2 linked regions of the Oreochromis niloticus genome follow. Each later gene encodes a partner of the first gene's protein in a complex. Links are inferred from orthologs where the notes say so. Each region holds a gene or a part of one and is shown on either strand. Other genes may lie near its edges.

Region 1 (9,880 bases):
AAGGGTTATCTGACTGGCATCGTGACCTCTGCAATAAAAACCCCATTTATTGCACCATTTTTATTACTCAAGCTCATCCACAAAACTCTAATCTCACAGTTAATCACATTCACTTGATCAGTTTGACCACATCAGATGACAACGTTACCTCTCATGTGCAGACTTTTGCACCTCCTGGCCGATCCTGCGGACAGCTGAACCTCCCTGTTCCTCCTGAGCGAGGATGGACATCATCGCCTGGGCAAAGAGGTAGGTGTGCTCGCCGTGACACACCATTTTCTGTTGGAAAGAGTCGGGCGCAGCTCATCAGAGACCATTACTTACAGCACTTTAAAAAAAGTGGCACACTGAGACAAAAGGATATATATTTTACAGATCTTTAAAGGTTGACAAAACAGACAAGCAAAGTAATCCTCACAGCAAATTCGGGCAGGTTCTTCTCCAGGTTTTCTTCTCCTCCGTCTAGCAGCGCGGCCAAAGATGTTCTCAACACCCGAGAGAAAACTTCCAGCTGTTGGCAGGCTGTGGACACGCTGGTGATCTCGCCCTGGTAACCTGCGTCTGAAATAAGCTAAACAAACACAAACACAATACTGAAAAGAAGCAGAGACAGTCCAAGTCATCAAGCTGCAAAAATGTATAAAAAAAAAAAAAGGAAAAATGATAAAATTAAGGTGAATTTTCATATTCGTGTAAATTACAATTACAACAATACACTTACTGACCATGTTTTTATGTACACCTGTTCAGCTGCTTGTTAACAAAAATAACTAATGAGTCAAACCCATGCAGAGCCAGACTGATTTATTGGCAGGCCTACATTACCTTTTCTGCAGATCTATTGGTATTGGCATTAACTGTTGCATAGTTTGTCCACCAGAGGGCACTCTGCAACTTCCCTGCTGGCAATACTTTTGTGGGATCTCACTAAGACAAAATCTAACTGATCCCTGCAGAGTTGGGCAGAGCATATACAAATAAATAAAAAACTACACATAAAAAAATGTTAGATAAATCTGTGTTTCATGTGTCTGAAAAAAAAATTAGATGCCAATGTCTCTGAATGTCTGATTCTTATATCGGTCATACAAATCATATTAGTCACATGGCAGATCAGTGTGTGTAGACATGATCAAGGCAACCTGCTGAAGATCAAACTGAGCATCGGAATGAGAAAGAAAGTTGATATAAGTGACTTTGAACGTTGCACAGATGTTGGTGCCAGGATCAATGTGGACCAAAATCTGAGGAATTTTCCCAGCACATTGTTGAATTCACGGCATGAAGAATTAAGGCAGTTCTGAAGGCAAAGGCTTCAAGGAAAGTGTCCCTAATAATGTGTCCAATGAGTGTAAATGACAATGACAGAACATCAGAAACAAATTTAAAGTTAAAATCTTTAACTCGACTCTTTCTACTGGTTAGTTTGTGTTCATGTCCTAATCTTCAGCTCCTGCTGTTCTTACTGTTTCCACAGTCACTACTATACCTTTACAGTGAAGTTGAGCATCAGGCAATCTGGGTGAGCCTCCGCCAGCTTATAGAAGAGATCTCTCCACGTTGTGTGTGCTATCATCTGCTCGAGCCAAGCAGGAGTCTAAAATGGCAGGAGACTGGATTAGTTTGGTTTCTCTGAGCTTCAGTTAGTTGTTGTGTTGAAGCACAACACGCTCAAAGTTTCTCACCACTTTCATTTGTCATATGTGTAATTACTCCGGGTGTTTAGAGATCTCACCTCTCCCTCAACGGTGAAGATGGAATCAGCTTTCTGGGGGTCAAAGTGTTTTATCAGAAGACTCTTGAGGTGATTTTCTACTCGTTCTTGGACTTGTGCAGGCTCAACACCTGAATAATTACATTACACGTTAATGAAAAGCCATCAGTAAGACAAACTTAAAATAGTTTTCTGACACAACAGTAAGACCAGTAGTCTGATAGGTACCCATCTGGATGAGCCACTCAGCCAGCAGATTAACAGTCTGAGCCACGGCAGAGTAATTTTCAGAGAGAAGCTGGATGACATGTTCTGGAGAGCCACCTGCTTGAAAATACCTGCAGAAACAACATGGTTGTTAATCAATAAATGTCTTTTTACCAAAACTTATATTACATTTACATGAGAGTGCAGACACTTACGTTTTGAGGGTGCTGAAGATAGCAGGCTCCATGATGTAATCCCTACTGGAGAATTTCTCCAGGCAAGCTTCCTGGATTTTCCCATCATTTTCTCCTTCACCGTAACCATCCTCCTGAAATACACGGTGATGCAGATGCTTCTAAAGTGATTCATCTTTCTTGGGAATAATAAGTAATACTCCAGTTCTCATTTGCATATAGTAACAAATTATGGTGTAGCTACAAGGTAGAGGAGAATCGACAGGTGCTATAGAAGATGTTATTATTAGATTCTGAGCAGGCTTCCTTACATTCATCCAAGTTAAAAGACACTGATATGTAGATATCAGGTTTGTGCTGCAGTTCAGTAACTAGGCAGAGGTTTCCCCAACGTTTAAAACACACAGCTCTCATACTTTGAGCTTATTTTTTTGTCTCTTTTAGTTGAATACAGGTCTATGTGACTATCGCACCTTATCCTGATTTACTACTGTTTGAAAAACATGCACACTAAAAACGCAACAAGGTGCCATATTGCAGGCAAACTTAACTTCTACAGTCATAGTTTACATATGAGGATATAATAAAAATCATCCGTTCCTAGAAGTGGCAATCACCAGACACGCCACGATACGATAAATTATATCATCAGAGTTGAACTTTATCAATATCTTTTTAAGCCAATAAGATAAAGTTCCATTAGTTTTGCTGCGACCAGTCTGTGATTGAATGGGGTCACGCTGGCATTTAAGGGGGTAAGTAATAGCCAGGTTTCTGTGTGAGCACATCTATAAATGTACTGGCAGTTTGCTGCTCTGGAGCATTCAGGTGTCTCTCTTCCCAAGAGAACCCATACCATCAAATTCACCTCAAGGTCAGACCGTGCCATGCTCAAAAGAACTGCAAAAACCCAAGAACTACATCTCAGACACTACAGATTTGATCAGTTATCATGTTAAAGGTTAAAGTTCGTGGTGGGGGGCTGATGATTTGGGCTCGTTTTGCAGCCACAGGACCTGAGCGTCTTGTAAACATTGAGTCAACCATGAACTCCTCTGTATACCAAAGTGTTCTAGAGTCCAATGGTCCAACAGCTAAAGCTTGACCCAAAGTGGGTCCATTTTTATCATGTCCTGATATATAAAACCTTAGAATTGACACAGGTGTGATTTCTCCTTTGTGACCACGACTGTGTGAACACTATCAAAACAGTCGATTCTGTTTTCGGTCATCCAAGTCAGAGATAAAATATATTTTATCAATTTATTTTATCATATATTTTAGTCAGAAATAAAACAAACTTTAACCTATGGCGAGTTGATCACCAGTTTGTAACATGAACATGAAGCAGCTGTGTCGTTTGTTAGCCAGCTGCAGGCTAACTAAGTAGCCGAGCCGCTGAGTTTAGACTATACAATGCATCTTTAGAGTACCTGAAGCACTTGTCTCAGCACATCAGCTCTTATACTAAAGATAACAAAGGTCTGACAATTAATCATCAGCTGCTGTGACTCCAGCGATGCTAATGCTGGCTAGCTAACCGAGAGCCAAACAGCAACAAGTCGCGATCTCACCATGTTACCCTCCGTGCCTTCCCAGTCTCCGGAACCGCTGTAATATTCCTCGTCCATGGTGACGGGGAAAGCAGGGACGTTGGGAACCGCTACAATAACACACCTGTTGGATTTAAATCATGCACTGACTCGTTTAACTGCAGAAACCGGGCTGACAGTCAGCTTAGCCAGCAAGCTAACAACAACACAGGAGGAAAATGGCGAGGCGGTAGGCTGTAGGCCACGCCCCCATTCGTGGGTTCACTCCCTGAGTTTAGACTTTTAGGCTCAAACCGAATGGCGTTTCCTTTGTTTAGTACAATGGTAAACTTTTGCAAGGAAAACTGGAAAAAGGTGCGGTGATTTATTTAAACTTTCAAAACATATATGGAAATACAACATATAAGGAAAAAACTGAGTTTGTGCAATTCTAATGAGCTCGAAAGCCACTATTTGGTTCAATCACTGCAATCTGAGATTTCTTAGGAAAGCTTTCTCATAATTTTTTAAGTAGTCTTCAGGAATAGTTCTGCAGCCTTCCTGAAGTGCATGGGTCAGGGTTAAGTGGTTTAACAAAGGAAAACAAAAAAAAACATTCCTTTGAAAATGTTAAGGTAAAAAGAAGAAGTATTGCTCAAGAGCACTTAAAAGAAATAAAACAAAAGAAAGGCTGGCTTCTTGGAAAGAAAACAAAGAAATGAGGAGTGATTAAAATATTTGCATAGTACTGCATGTGACCAATTTATCTTCAGGTAGACCTCTGTAAAACCAGAGGAATGTTTACTATTTAATAGTTTCTTACTGATATAAACTAAGTGGATCATTTAATTGGCACAACTGTTTAGAGCATCTCTGACGGCACTAAAAGTCCACATATTACATTATGCACATTATAACCGACAACACGACTGTCGAGTAAAATAGCATTAGACCAACAAAAATGATCTCCTAGATTATAAGTGAAAATATAATATTACAGAAGGTGCAGATGGTAAAGCTTTACAGGATGTGAAAATAGTTTCTCTAGATTTGCATGCATGCATTACAGAGGCCTAAACTATTTTAAGTGTGCACTAAGTGAGTCTGTCAAAAGTGAGAGTATCCACGTCCTGCCTTGTCTACTTAGAGAAAACACAGACTGTCTGGGCTGAGTTACCAGAATTTCTTCTGTAATTTTACACATTTCTTAAAATTTAAGCCCAAAGTGTAGCACTGAAAGATTTCTTTCATTTCCTCCAGCAGAATTTCTATATCATGTGGAAAATGTAGGATATACTGTCAGAATAACACTTCTTCTTCTTATATTAAACTATTTCAGGGGTTAAATGTGCAGGTAATCATCTTTACACCAATAGAAAGGGGGGGTTTCAGTGGTCTGGCCGGTTAAGGATCAAAGTGGGCTGTATGTGGCCCTTAATATAAATTGAGTTTAACATCCCTGTATTAGAGGCCACAAAACTTCCAGGGTTAGAAGACAAGACTTCCTGCCGTTTCTCCTCTTAAAAACGTAACCATTTGTTATTAACAGTTTATATCCTTTTTCTTTCTTTCCCTCATATTAACTACATGCGAGTAGGGATACTACTAGTTTTTCTTTTGTGGTCATTTTCTTTCTCTTGACATGGATGTAATTTATGCTTTTACTTTGGCGCCCTCTATTGGTCACATACTACATTGCAGAAGTTAGTACTTTGTTTTTAATTCTGAAAGACTGGGTCAGACTCTGCTGAAAACTTGCATAGGTCACTCTTTTTATTATTATACTTCATTCAATAGAATTAATAAATCTAACTGGTGGAGACTCCATCCACATGTTTAGTAAGACCACCCGTGATGTATACATGTTGGCTCAGCCATCGGACTCATGCACAACTGTCTTCTTTGGTCAACAGCCTCCTTACCTGTATCTTGTTGCATACTGTTCCCTGTACGTTAGCATGGACCACAAGTAAGGGCTATATATTAATTTTTACAGAGTTAGTGTATCTAAACATATGAACCTCAGAGTACAGTATAGACTTAAATTGCAAACTGTTCAAATAAAATAAGATAGTCAACTAAACAACCCTTTATTGGGTTTTAAAAGAATAGTTTTATGGAACAGTATGTCAAAAGTTGTGCACGAGAAAGAACATAATCACAAGTGAATTTCATTTTTGGCTTGCCAGCAGACACTGGAGCCTGTGATAGTGTGTGTATGCTGAGCTCTTTGTGCAGTTTATTGAATTTACATATGAGGAATTTAATTATATGAGTGGCAATGAATACCTGTGTCTGTTAAACAATCACAAATAAATAATGTTTCCCCCCCCCTCACTCAAGTTTGAATGAAGTATGCTTTAAGCTCAGTTATTAACCGAAGGCGATGAAATAAATTCTGAAGTCTCCCCAACAGGTTGAAGTGACTGTTTCTGAAGCGATCAGTTTACCTGTGACTTGTGTTCATTTCCTGCCGGCTTGAGGATCACTGAACATCTTTTCCTCTTCCAAAATGGATGGAAAAAAATAAAATTAAAAAAAAAACAAACAAAAAGAAAACCGCTGAAAATCCACAAACTAACTTTCATGGTATTCAACGCTGAGTACTGAGGAGTCCAGCCGTACAGGAACAAATGTTTTATTTTATAATGCAAACCGCAACATATGAATTATATTATTTACCCAAAGGAGCAGGAAAAAGGTCATATACCCGTGGCAAAATAAATCACACAGTCTGTGTTAAATCTAAGTCCAACACATATATCAGCCTCAGCCATAAAGGGAAAATCCACCCAAAAAACAACATGTACATTCCTTTGATGTCGGACAGTTCATTCTTACTTTGTGGCTTTAATTGAGTCTCACCCAACAGCAGGAATATGGGGTCCAGGACTTTTACTTTCCTCTGCAGACATCGCAGAAGGAAAACCTGACTTTATATCAAAGTCAGTGATTTGTGAAAGGATCGTTGATCCATTTCGGTTTTGACGTGTACACAAATTTGAAGTGAACTGTGTATCATAGGGTTCATAAAGTGAATTCTTCAGGGTTTTTGCTTTCGGAAGGCATTTTATCAAAGTTTTTCTACGCACAAATATAGCTCAGGTGAAAACTGAACTTTCAATTAATCTGTTCAGCTATTGCTTAGATAAATAATATTTACTCTACAAGAAAAAAGATAAGTTTCACATTGTTCAGATGCATGTAAAAGAAAAACAAACTGTTCTAAAATGTCAAACTGACATTTTTTTGGTTGAAAAATCCCTGCGCTGTTGGTTCTTGAAACATGTTACCACATCTGCATCGAGTCTTGGAAAGTTTCAGAAAGGATTAGTTGACTGGCTGAAAACCCAGCCATGTGAGAAAAAAACAAAACAAAAACAAAACAGTGACAGAAGTCTTTAGTAACTCTGGGGGAAAAAGAAGTAGCACCATGTTCACTGAGGGCAAGCCAGAAGGTAAAGGGGAGAAGCCGCAGGACACACAGAGTTCAGGTGTGCACTTAAGTGCTGCAGCATCTGCAGTAAATCTGCTCATCCTTCAACATGACTTTTTGGTCTTTATTCTGCTCTGCTGTATTCTGGCTGTGTGCAGCTTATGCAAACATAATCCTCCTTCTCCGCACGCTCAGCAGACAGACCGACGCAGATCTGGTGAAACCACTGATTGCAGTTGCCGTCACACTGGACCCAGTTTACCTAAAAATAACAAGAGGAGATACAATAAATTTTCCCTTTGTATTCTTAAACTTCAACTAAACAGGCACATAAGTCAGTGATCCATATTTACATAAGTTGGTGTAAATACAGCAGACTAATGAAACTCACCTCATCACCCTCTGGCTCTCTGCACCACGGTGCAGCACACAGCGAGTAGTCTTCTTCTGAATCTGAAAGAGCAGGGTCAGACGACGTGTGTGTGGGCGAACCGCTTCTCTTCGATTCTTCGCTCCTTTCTTTGCTTCTCTTGGGCTTTTTCTTGCGACACTTCTTGGCCTTCTCGCTGTGCTGAGAATCGGAGCTGTCCTTACGCCGCTTGGTCCGCTTGCTCTGAGTGTTCACGGCCTCCTTTTTCAGACTCGACACGCCATTCTAAGCACAACATACGAAAGGTGGACTTAATAAAGAATAGCATTATGGCATAATGCATTTGGTGTGACATACAGTATCATCTAAATGTAGTAAACTTAGTAGGAGCTGTTGTTACCTTGTGTTGAGGGCTCCCTTTTGGAGACTTCTGGTCCTGTTCTGTGCTGTTCCCACAGGGAGGGCTCTGTGAGGGCAGGGGGACCAGTTTGTAGAGTAGATATCTGTACAGCTGCTCCGTCTCAGGCAGAGTGACCTGCAGCAGGAATCCCTCCACCATCAGCTCCTCCAGCTCAGGACTTAGTCCTGTGAAAAATTAAAACAAAATGAGCATCAGAGTTGCTGTGAAAAGTGAAACTGCAGAGAGTGCTTAGACGAAAAAGCTTTGACACTTACCGTGGAGCGGAACAGACTGGTGCTCTGTATAAAAAGATGACCCACTCTTTTCCTGAGGCAAATGTGAAGACTCTCTAGGTCCAACTCTCACCTGAAACAATTAAAAAAGCCATCAGTGGCTGTAAATGCTCAGTGTCTAGTGTTTCCATGATGGTGTCTAGAAAACGGGACCCCTGATGGTGAATTACAATAATTCAGACCACAAATGCTTCACTTAAATCAACAATGTTTACAAAATAAAAGCCACTGACCATCTTTGACACGTTCTCGAGTACTCCATCTGCACAGGCTTGCTGGACTCTGTGCTGCCATCTCACAGTCCTCTCGATGAGGAACCGCAGAGCGTCGCCCTCTGGCAGGCGGACCCGAATCCTCTGAAGGGAGGCCAGCAGGGGCAGGACTTTGTCCAGAGGTGGTTTTCTCGACCGCTGGCACAGCGGGCACAGCCAGGCCTGACCGTACTCAAGTTCTGCGGTTGTTGTAACACAACCGCAGTGGAAAATGTCTCGACAGAGCTCGCACTGCATCATGGCTCCTGAGGGAGCCTTTTGGCAAACACAAACACTAAGTGCACAACAGCTTTCAGCAGGAAGGAGCTTAGACTCGTTTGAAGACCTCAGAGCCAGTAAGATCTCCATCTCCCTCTGTCGGACCTCTGCGAGAGTGGTCATCTGTGAGGAGAGAAAATTAGATGAAATTAAAGACTAATCTCAAGCCTAACAACAATGCCTCTATTAATATATGAACTTTCCCTGATGGGACTTCTAATAAAGGAAATCATATTTTTCCCCCATTGACTTTCTGAGGAACCCTCCACTCATCGTTACACAGATTTGTGCCTGCTAAACCTCATTTAATGCTAGGTTAACCTGCTGAAGGTGACCAAGATAGAGTCAGAGTCACTGCTTCTAATACTTGGGATAGGTTAAATGGTTGAAATGGCACATTGATAGACAATATTTACTCTGACAGAGTAAGGAAGAACAAGTGAATAAATAAAAAGATCAGTTTTTATCTGTTTATAAGTTATAAAAAAAACAGCACTTCTTAACAAAGAAAGATTCTGGAGTAAAGGAAACTATACAAGAGCTAGTTTTTAGTCCTAACTATACTGAAAAAGCTACTAGAGAAAAAGAAAATTTGATGCAGCCATACTTACAGCAGAGGCAGAGTCCTTACTCTCAGAGAGAGCTCTCTCTACATCACACACAGAGTCCAGTTTTGTTGAAGTCTTTTTAATGATCTGTGGAGCTTCTTTCACTTTTTTAGATTTTGACTTCTGATATGCAGACCCGATGTCACACCTTGGGCAGAGGACCTGAAAACATGATGACAAATTCTATTAGAGGCGCTTTTCAAGTTCAGGAAATTTGCCACATTTATAGTTTTGTAATATTTGGCACTAAATTTTCATACTGATGCATAATGATTATATTGGTCAGCCACATTTGCATACGCATTTACCTCTAGAAGTGAGAAAGGGGAGTTTTTTAATAGGAATGTCTTTGTGGCCGTCTCCTTCCAGCTCTGGACATCACTGACAAGGGCCTCCAGTCGACTGAGCGGGTCGAGCTTCACTGGGATGCCCTCTGCTCTGAGAACCAGCTCAGAGAGGCTGTCGAGCACAGGAATACGTCCCCCAAGCTGTAAGCACAGACAAGATTAATAATTCAGTTTCACCCATTGCTAAAACTAAAGTGCTGAAAGCATAAAGTATGATTTACCTGCAGTGTTTCAGCTTCATGGAGCCAT
Region 2 (9,390 bases), on another chromosome or scaffold:
GGGCTTTCAATGGTCCACAAAGTATTAAATGTAAGTTAAATTAAGTATGAAATGTAAATTGCATAAATGAATAAACTTATAACATAGTAGGTTTATTGACTCTTTGCCTAAAAATGTAAACAGAAAAAAGAATTAAGCACGTCAGGAAAAGAAATACACCATGTTTTCATTTTGAATATTTTGATTTGAAACCGAACTAAGAGCTGAATAACAAATCAACTTTAACTGTGCAAAATAGCTACACGACATGGGCATAGACTATATGCATAATAGGAATATATGTCTGTAGAAGAATTATTCTCATATTCCCCCATACATTTATTATTCATCTGAATTATAAAGTTTAGGGAAATCCCTTATAAAAAATAAATCCAATCAATACGTCATGTTTTGTTAAAAAATTTTTTAAATTGTTATCACTGACCAAAGTAATTTCGATGATGGCTGTTTTGTTTTTCCCATCGCCTTTGGAAATGTCCTTTTTTCCCTGATGACCAGTCAAAAACCTAACTATTTTGAGCTTAGCATGATGCCAAAAAAAAAAACAACCAACCAACCAACCAAACAAACAAACAAACAAACAAAAAGAAACACCCGACAAAGCCACAAATACTCAGTATTACCAGTGAATGCTGGGGATTGGTGCTTGAAAAACTCAAATAAACAGTTACTGAATTTGTTGCAAGTGAATCTGAATTTGATTAAATCACTGATTTGCTGTAGCTCTGTCATAATGGTTGGTATCTGGGGAAATAATAAAACTGCCTTGGCATGTTCCCAAGCTGAAAATGTTCAAGATTGTTAAAGCTCTGATAAGATAGACTCCGTTTAATGCAGAAAGTTGAACTGGCAAATCTGGTCAAACTGACAAAAACAGAAACACAGGATATTTCTATTTTAATTATGTTATATTTTAGTTTACATTGTAACACCTCTGAAAACCTAAGGTATTACCTATGTTGTAACTTGACATTCTCCGCCCTATAAATCACACTTACTTCAGCACTGTTCATTCCTCCTCCAAATTTCTAGCTACTTTTTGGCTGCAGTCTTTTAATTTATCAGTGAAAGAATAACAATGATCTTCTCAATATAGGAAATAATAAACAAAGCATCATTACAAGGCAGCAAAGACTGGTGAAGCTATTGGAAGGAACATGAGGGGATGTACAAAGAAGTGGAAAAACTTGAGGGACAAATGTGTTTGCTCCAAAAAAAAAAAAAAAAAAAAAAAAAACTGAGGACAAAAAAAAGAGACCCAGGAGGGAAAAATGTTGGAGCATTTTATTTCAAAGATTCACCGCAGATGTGGACAAGATGATAAACTTTAACTTTTCTACTTTTACAATCATTTATTAAAATGTGTTTCTTATTTTACTACAGCCAGTCTCTTCATGACCTGGACATCAGTGAGATCTGCTCGGTGGATCCCTGCCAGTCAGTTTTAAACTGCAGGCAATCACTGGTTCAGTGTGTTTCACAGTCACTGGACTTCTTTAAGTTTCTTGAAGATGTTTTGTTCATGATTCTTTCATCCAAAAAGCTTCTTCAGTTTTCTGAAGTAGTTCCCTGAACTGAAGAGGCTTCTTGGATGAAAGGTGATCCTCAAGAAACTTTTATTTCCAAGCTCCTAGATTACCATGACCTGGGTGACTGAGAACCTACACAGACTCTTCTATGAAACAAACTACACATGCAACGGGCCTTATAAGACAGTGATTACATACTCTCGTGGACACTGCATGGATAGTGCTCATCTCTTTGACTGCACCAGACTATTACATCTGTGCCATTTTAAGGACAAGCGACATAGCTGGAATTTACAAATCAGCAGGGGCAGAAATGTGCAAAAGATGGAGTTAGCCACATCACCTGTTAGTTATCAATCCAACGTTCTGAACCACGCTGTTTAGTGCCATCGAGAGACACCGCATGCTCATATCTTACCAACTAGTCAATCACATGTAAAAGAAATCCTGCTTTATCCTCCATAGTTACTCTAATGGAACATGAATATCAGGCTGTATTAAATAAAACTGAAACTAGATACTGAGCCCATGAATCCCCCAGTAAAGTGTCTATTGAGGCCACAAATCAAAGAAGTTTAATGGTTGCTTTCCCATACATGTCTATACAACCAAAGGTATTGCCCCAAGGTGGCAATGTAAAAGAATGCAGGTTTAGATATGGTAGAGCCATTACTCTTAATCCCACTATACAATGTTCCTTCCTGTTAAAAACAAGTTTTTCCTTCCCACTGTTGCCATAAAGAGTGTCTGTGACATCCCTAATACTTAAGGAAGATTGACTTGACTACAAGTCTTTTTAAATATCTTTTTTTTTTTTTTTTTTTTTTTTTTTTTAAATGGGACTAAATCCTCTTAACCTCTTCTATGCAAAAATAATAACTAAATAAATAAAACAAAAATAAAAAATGCACAAATCACGACAGGGGCAGGAATCTGTTTTTTGCTGCATCTCCATGGGGCCCATTCAGTCTGGGTTATCTCCTGAGCACCGATATAAAACCGAAACGCCAAATAGTACGATTACTGGTTTCACTTTTCACATTTTCACATGACAAAAGTATGCCCATTTTTCATATACAGTCTATGGTTTTGTCCTCAAACTGTATTACCTATTTAAGACAATAAATAGCAGTTCAAACTCTCTAAAGCTCTAAGTTGTCGTCGACTTATATCACCTACTCTCAAATCAAATCAAATCACTTTTATTGTCACGTCACATGTGCAGGTACACTGGTACAGTACATGCGAATGAAATTCTTGTGTGCGAGCTTCACAAGCAACAGAGTTGTGCAAAAATACAATAACGTAAAACAAGCAAAATATAAGAATGGCTAAATCTGAAAGTAATAAATATATGTACAATATATAAGAGTATATGCATTACTGGATGTGTATACTAAATATGTTTTTCTACGTGTGTGTGTGTGTGTGTATACATATTTTACAAATTAAATAGAGTAAACAATAAAATAAAATATATAAAATATACAGAGGTTGGTAGTTGGAGGTAAAAAAAAAAAACAAACACTCCAAACACACCACAAACGAACACCACAACAGAACGGCACACGTTCTGTGCATTGTGAGATTACGCTCAAAGATTGTCTGCCATCTCCAATCCTCTCTCCTGCTTTCACAGATCTAGCGGGAGAGATCGGAATAAAGGGTGAGAAGGCGATGAATATCCTGCATTTTGATTAGTTTTAAACGCAGGATATTAGCTCAAAAATATGAACTTGAAGTGGAGAGCAAATTTCATTGACCATTTCTCCCACTTTCTCTTTTTGCAATCTGTGTTGTTTTGTTGTTGTTTATTGCTACAACAGTGATGAAAATAGCTTAGTAGGAAACAACGGAGAACGGTGACTAGCTTTGGATGGTTAAGAACATACGTTATCGTTTGTTTATCAATCCGGGAACGCTTATTTACCGTTAGTCGAAATGTACACTCTATCACTCGAGGCACTAAGCTGTTGGGTGTTACCTGAAACTGATCGATGGCTTTCAGTGGCTCTGTGCAGTTAGTGAGAGTTTCTTTAAGATCCTCTCCGTTGGATATACCAAGCTCAGGCAGCCCCGCGAACATTTTGCTTTCAGTTTAAGCATCAATTAAATGATCTAAGTCCAAATGATGTCTTCTGACGGGAGTTTAGTCAACAAAAGTAAGTTCCTTCTGCAGAAAACAACACATTCGCCTTTTTGAGAGCTTCCTGTGTTGCAACTTTGTAAACACTCCGCCAGAAACATCCGCGATGAAACGTTCCAGCGTGCTCTGCGGTAAAAGGGCGAGCATCAAGGGGTTCGATTGCAAGCTGCGGAGAAGCGCGAAGTCATAACGTACAAAGAGCTGATGTAAAACCGAGTGTTAAAAAAGTGTTTTACTGTCTCTGCTTTTCATACTGTGGTTTTTTTTTCGCGGTGAACTCAGCTGACGCTGTCTGCTCTATTTCAAACTCCCTTTGCTCCACCGTAAATTCGCCGTACTCACAAACTTCTCAATTGAAATACATGGGAGGATTCAATTGTGGCAAAGATCGTGGTAGAAGTATAATTACCTCGGAAAAATACATTTAAAGTTTTATTTAAAGTCTCATATAAAGCCATTTTAAAATGCTTAACTAGAGATCAAAAAGTACGTTTGCAGACTCATACAAAAAAGTTTGAACATATTCGAAAAGATTTACTCCATCAAAACAACTAACAACTTTTTTTTTTTAAATTTAAACATAACACATCAGTCGGTGGCACGGTGGTTAGCACTGTTGCCGCACAGCAAGAAGGTCCTGAGTTCAATTCCACCATCAGGCCAGGGTCTTTCTGTGTGGAGTTTGCATGTTCTCCCCGTGTTTGCGTGGGTTCCCTCCGGGCACTCCGGCTTCCTCCCACCGTCCAAAGACATGCAGCTTGTGGGGATAGGTTAATTGGATAATCGAAATTGTCACTAGGTGTGAATGATTGTCTGTCCCTGTGTGTTGGCCGTGGGACAGACTGGCGACCTGTCCAGGGTGTACCCCGCCTCTCGCCCTATGACAGCTGGGATAGGCTCCAGCGCCCCCCGCGACCCTGAAAAGGATAAGCGGAAGCGAATGGATGGATGGATGGATAACACATCAGTCTTCAAAAGCCTTCAGTTAGGCACATGGCTATTTTGAATGACACATTAGCTGTTAGTGGTGTCTTAGAGTATGTATGCCACAGTTCTATATTGAACCTTAAGTTGTCCCTGATTTGTTCAGAGATAGTATGAGTGTGTGATAGAAAATGCATTCATAGACTGCCTGAATGTGTGTGTGAATGGGTTATGTACTATAGCTTGTAGTAAAAGCTACTTGCAGTGCTCATTCAAACTAGAAAAGTGCTAAATAATGACAAGTTAATCACAAGTGGTATTGTATTGCACATTGAGTCTGGAACATTTAAAAAACAATCCCATTTATTTTGGATTTTGTGCACACTGACATGAGTAAGCTGAACATTTACTGAAATTTGTGAATCTAAAGCAAAACTTGTAAGCTTTACTTTAAAAATGATTTTCGCTACATAATATAAAAAGCCAAAATTAAAAAGGTGTTTACTGAAGGTTTTTTGCCTGAGAGAAATTTACTTCAACTTGGCTATCCTTGCTCTCAAACCATTCCTTCATTAGCCTTTGTTTTTCTGTAGACAAAGAGAAGGTATCCCAGTGCAAAGAAGATAAGGATGATGGAGAAGAAGAGGATGCCTTTCCAGGGCCCTATGGGCAGGGCCTTCATCACTACAGGATTTTCGGCTGGAACTAGATTGGTGAGGTTTAGCATGTAACCCAAAGCCCAGCCTACAGATGCTCCTCCGGCCTACAGAAACACAAGAAGAGGTGCAGTGATATCACATCATATTGTGGATTCTATCAGTTTCTAAATTCCAGCAAATCATTTCGTTTCACCTCTCACCTTTTTTTCAAAAGAAATAGAAGGAAGGAAAACCTCATCAAAATGGTAGCCCTGTGTTAAGAGCACCTGGACGAAATTGGAGACAGCACAGACATTCTTCATGTATTTCTTATCCTGCTTTGTCCTATTCGTCATCTATAAGTAAAAATACAATGTGTGAGGTTTTGTATTATGTTATTTAAAGCTCATCGGAATCAGAGAGATTTTATCAATCCCAGAGAGAAATTGAGTTGTCAAAGCCGGAAATATACAACAAACATCAAGCACTCATAAAAAACAAGTGCAGAAACAGAGATATTGATAGATATATAATAGATAATATATGTAGATATATGTCAACAGTCACTTTAGAGCCTTAGAGTAACATGGTGAGGATCAACACGTCTCAAAGTCTTTATGGACAGTACCTCAGAGATGCTCATGCTGCAGACGCGCTGGACAGCCTCTGCAGTTTGATTAGGAGACGTCATATCCATGTTGGTGAGGGTAGAGATGTATTTGTGAGTGAAGTAGAAAGCAGAGAATGCCTGTGGAGAAGAAAGAATAGTGCAATGGATGAAGGTTAAGTATCCCCCATCTGTTTTTGAAGACAGAATTAAAAATGTGACCTGTAACCACGAAGGAAGCATTAGTACAATCCATTAGGTCCTGATACAAATGCCTGTAATGCATTCCATTTTTAGTGTTTAGGAGTATTTTCAATCATCAATCAATCAATGTATGTGGGAGTGTGTGTGGGTGCGTGTGTGTGTGTGTGTGTGTGTGTAAAGAAGAAAGGATATCAGAAAGCAAAAATTAGTGCTCATTCAGTGAAGAGCATACATAACGTAGCAAATGAGTCTACGTTATGCTTCTATGCTTTTTTGCCTCAATATAGGATATTTTAGACAACATCTAAAAGCCTCTCACCATGAATCTTCCTCTCAAGCTGGGCTGAAAGACTCCATTAAAGGAGCACTTGGAGTATTTGCAATTCTCAAAGGAGAACATCTTCTTTACATTCTCTAAGCAGTTTTGGTAGTCTCCTGTGCCCACAACTTTTACATTCAGTTTCAGGTCAATCTTGTCTGGTTTGGAGTCCACAGTACACGGAGAATCAAAGACGTCCTTCCCCAGGATGACACTTTCGGTGAACTGCTTTGGATAGCAGGGGTGGAACACTGTGCTGTTTTGATAGTTATCCTTAAAGTTAGAAGATTAAAATTTTATTAGAAAACATTTTTTAATAATTTTTTTTACAAAGATCATTTCACCATATAAAAGCCATCCATAACACAGATACTGCATTGTTCTAAGGTTCCTCGTAGCAACAACTCTGATTTTCCTAAAACTGGTAAAGACTGGTAATTTAATTTGGTTAACAAGCTAGCAGTTCTCCTGTTCAATCTTTATGGCAAGCTTTCATCTCTCTCTTAGCAAGAATGTAACAATATGATCCCAAAATGTAACAAATGTGAACTTAATCTATTTAGTAAGTTTAATGGAGATGTGTTTCAAACATCCTTTTTGTTTAGTAGGACTGCAGCAAGACAATAACATGTTTACATATGCTGTTTTATATGGTCTTGCTATCTGAACTTCTCAGTTGTTAAGAAGATACAGAATCATTATAACAGGGATGATTACAATTGAAATGGTTGCCATTAACAGTTAGAGTCTTTTAACTTGTTGAACAGTACCTTAATGAGATGAGCCAGCAGTTTCCTTAAATACTGGTCTTGGCCGTAACACAGGAAGCTCTGGGTGTATAGTCTGTAGGTTTTTCCAAAAAGCTTCAACTCCATTGTGTTACTTTTATTCTCCACCTTTTCAGAGGTCTCAAAAGTAATCTGGGTAGATGCTCCTCCTAAATCCAAAGCTCCAATTGTCTCTCTGCCTGGATTCATCCAGTGACCTACAAAACCATACTGGGTAATAAAAAAGGACATGACGCCACATTGGAATTAGAATCACTTAGAATCAACCAATAACCAGTGTTGGGCAAGTTACTTTGAAAAAGTAATTAATTATAGTTACTAGTTACTTCTTCAAAAAAGTAACTGAGTTAGTAACTGAGTTACAAGATTCTAAAAGTAATTAATTACTTGAAAAGTAACTATTGCGTTACTTTAAAAAAATGTTTAACCCTGTGGGGTCCAGGGTAGAATTGGCCATTTTTCACTACTTTTGATTTTCCCTCTACATTTCACCTTTAAAAACTATTTACTTTGCCTTGTTTGGTATCATCCTTTTCAGCACAACCTCACATGTCTGAATTTACAGTTATGTTTTCATTTTGACATACTGTATTAACACAATTGATCTAAAATCAGACAAAAAACATAAAATCAGAGTAGAAAAAAAGTTATATTTTTTTACAACCACAAACATGTTTAATGAATCATATTTCATAACTTTAAATGCAAATATAAATTGTCAATTTTAAAATCATATGCACAAGTTTTGCAAACAACAAAGTTATTTGCAGCCATTTACCTTTTACCCCTTTTTTTAAATAACCATTTCAAACTATTTACAGAACAATCAGCTGTTCTACATTCAATAAGAGGCCACACAAATTATTTGTGCCACTCCAAATATTTCTGTCCACTATAAAGGAGAACATCACAGCCTGATTCCTGCAGGTCTGACAGCAGCAGGTGTATCACTCCTGTTCTCTACCTGGAGACAGCAGTAACCTGATTGTTCTGACACACAACACAAAACTATCCACAACACTACACACTAACTACGCAAGACAACACATTAACTACACACTCCAAACACGCCAAACGTCACAAATCTCTCACATCTCAAAACTCGCTCTCTCTCTTTTTCTGCTGTCTTTCTTTCTCTCTCTCTCGCCGTCACTCATAAAACTTCCCACTCTTCCTAAACAACCAAATGTCATGTTGCCATATCATTTTTTGATTGGTCGACATTTTTCCACCAACACAAAAGGGCAGGGGTTTTTTTTGTTTGTTTTTTTGTTTTGGTTTTTTGCTCATAAGCAGAGAGTGCTTGCTAGCGCTGTCCTTAGACAGTAAACGTGATGAAACTATTCAGGAAAAAAAACACGCGTATATATTGTTTATCATGACTCTGGTTTTACGTGGCCTATCAACACAATTTAAAAACTGGTATATATCACCTTGTTGCTTTGTCATCTTGAAGTGGTCATATGATTGGCTTACCACGACTACTTTATTCTTCCTCAGTCAAACAGCAGCACTCATGCGATTGTTTTGTCCCCTTAGCTCCAGGTGTTGTGCCAAAAAGTGTTCGTCGGGCAGAAAGTGACTACCATCCACGGGAGCGCGCGCAGCTGCTTAAAGCTGTAGCGCCCAGATTACTTATGTAGACAGCTACTTCCGTGCAACTGATATAAGATGCGGTAAGCTGAAGACAGCTTCAACCGGCTGTTTGTTGAAAAATAGTAACGCGACCGCACCGCATTTTCTTGTTAGTAACGGTAACGGTGTTGTAACGATAGGAATAGTAATTAGTTAGATGACTCATTACTGAAAAAAGTAACGCCGTTACTTGTAACGCCGTTATTCCCATCACTGCCAATAACATACTCGAATGCTCTAAAACTGTAAGAGAAATTTAGTCATGCAACCATGTTGCAGTAATAGCATCACTTAGTCAATTACCAGTGTATTTCTATGCTCCCAGCAGCTACCAGTAAGTCCAGTGGATTCCAGTGGAATAGCTATAGTGCTATAGAGCTAAAGTGGCATAGGAATTCATTTTTTCTAGATTATGGACACTAATATATTTCTAGAATATTCCCATAATATTTGATGTAGTGTCACCACTGTGTAAAATTTCTCATTACAATTAGCCTCGGGTATATTTTGTGTGTAAATGTTTGTGTCCTAAACCAAGAAACTGTTCCAGTATCCACCCTTGTGGTAATGGTATCCGTTCTTTAATAACTGTTAAAGTTA

What was found.
Region 2: the proteins of nelfcd (region 1) and nelfb are in contact, whole or in part, in a crystal structure (PDB 8JJ6), measured with the Homo sapiens proteins. The link is inferred for Oreochromis niloticus from reciprocal best matches to the Homo sapiens genes NELFCD and NELFB. Residues at the interface, in XP_047296144.1 of Homo sapiens: Arg63, Ile66, Met67, Glu68, Pro69, Ile71, Phe72, Leu75, Ile89, Gln90, Leu92, Ser93, Tyr96, Thr97, Ala98, Val99, Ala100, Gln101, Thr102, Val103, Asn104, Leu105, Leu106, Trp109, Leu110, Gln112, Thr113, Gly114, Val115, Gln121; in NP_056271.3 of Homo sapiens: Met49, Leu53, Leu56, Val58, Ala59, Asn60, Gly61, Leu64, Lys65, Leu68, Thr69, Leu75, Ile78, Glu79, Phe81, Gln82, Glu84, Asn85, Gly86, Val87, Leu88, Leu89, Ser91, Leu92, Ser94, Ala95, Leu96, Pro97, Phe98, Leu99.

What each region holds. Positions count from the first base shown.
Region 1 is NC_031970.2:24,669,680-24,679,559, reverse strand, and holds the start of nelfcd (negative elongation factor C/D), read right to left. Parts: upstream 3,917-9,880; 5' UTR 3,747-3,916; coding exon 3,690-3,746; intron 2,250-3,689; coding exon 2,137-2,249; intron 2,053-2,136; coding exon 1,943-2,052; intron 1,846-1,942; coding exon 1,736-1,845; intron 1,598-1,735; coding exon 1,490-1,597; intron 572-1,489; coding exon 419-571; intron 280-418; coding exon 149-279; intron 29-148; coding exon 1-28. Other genes in the region: kdm5ba (lysine (K)-specific demethylase 5Ba), read right to left, coding at 7,208-7,345, 7,475-7,738, 7,854-8,038, 8,129-8,219, 8,380-8,799, 9,288-9,446, 9,593-9,772, 9,853-9,880. UniProt on the Homo sapiens protein: Essential component of the NELF complex, a complex that negatively regulates the elongation of transcription by RNA polymerase II.
Region 2 is NC_031977.2:1,193,563-1,202,952, forward strand, and holds the start of nelfb (negative elongation factor B), read right to left. Parts: upstream 3,654-9,390; 5' UTR 3,616-3,653; coding exon 3,514-3,615; exon of another isoform or gene 3,202-3,513; intron 1-3,201. Other genes in the region: ectonucleoside triphosphate diphosphohydrolase 2, read right to left, coding at 5,156-5,362, 5,459-5,593, 5,866-5,985, 6,368-6,640, 7,138-7,365. UniProt on the Homo sapiens protein: Essential component of the NELF complex, a complex that negatively regulates the elongation of transcription by RNA polymerase II.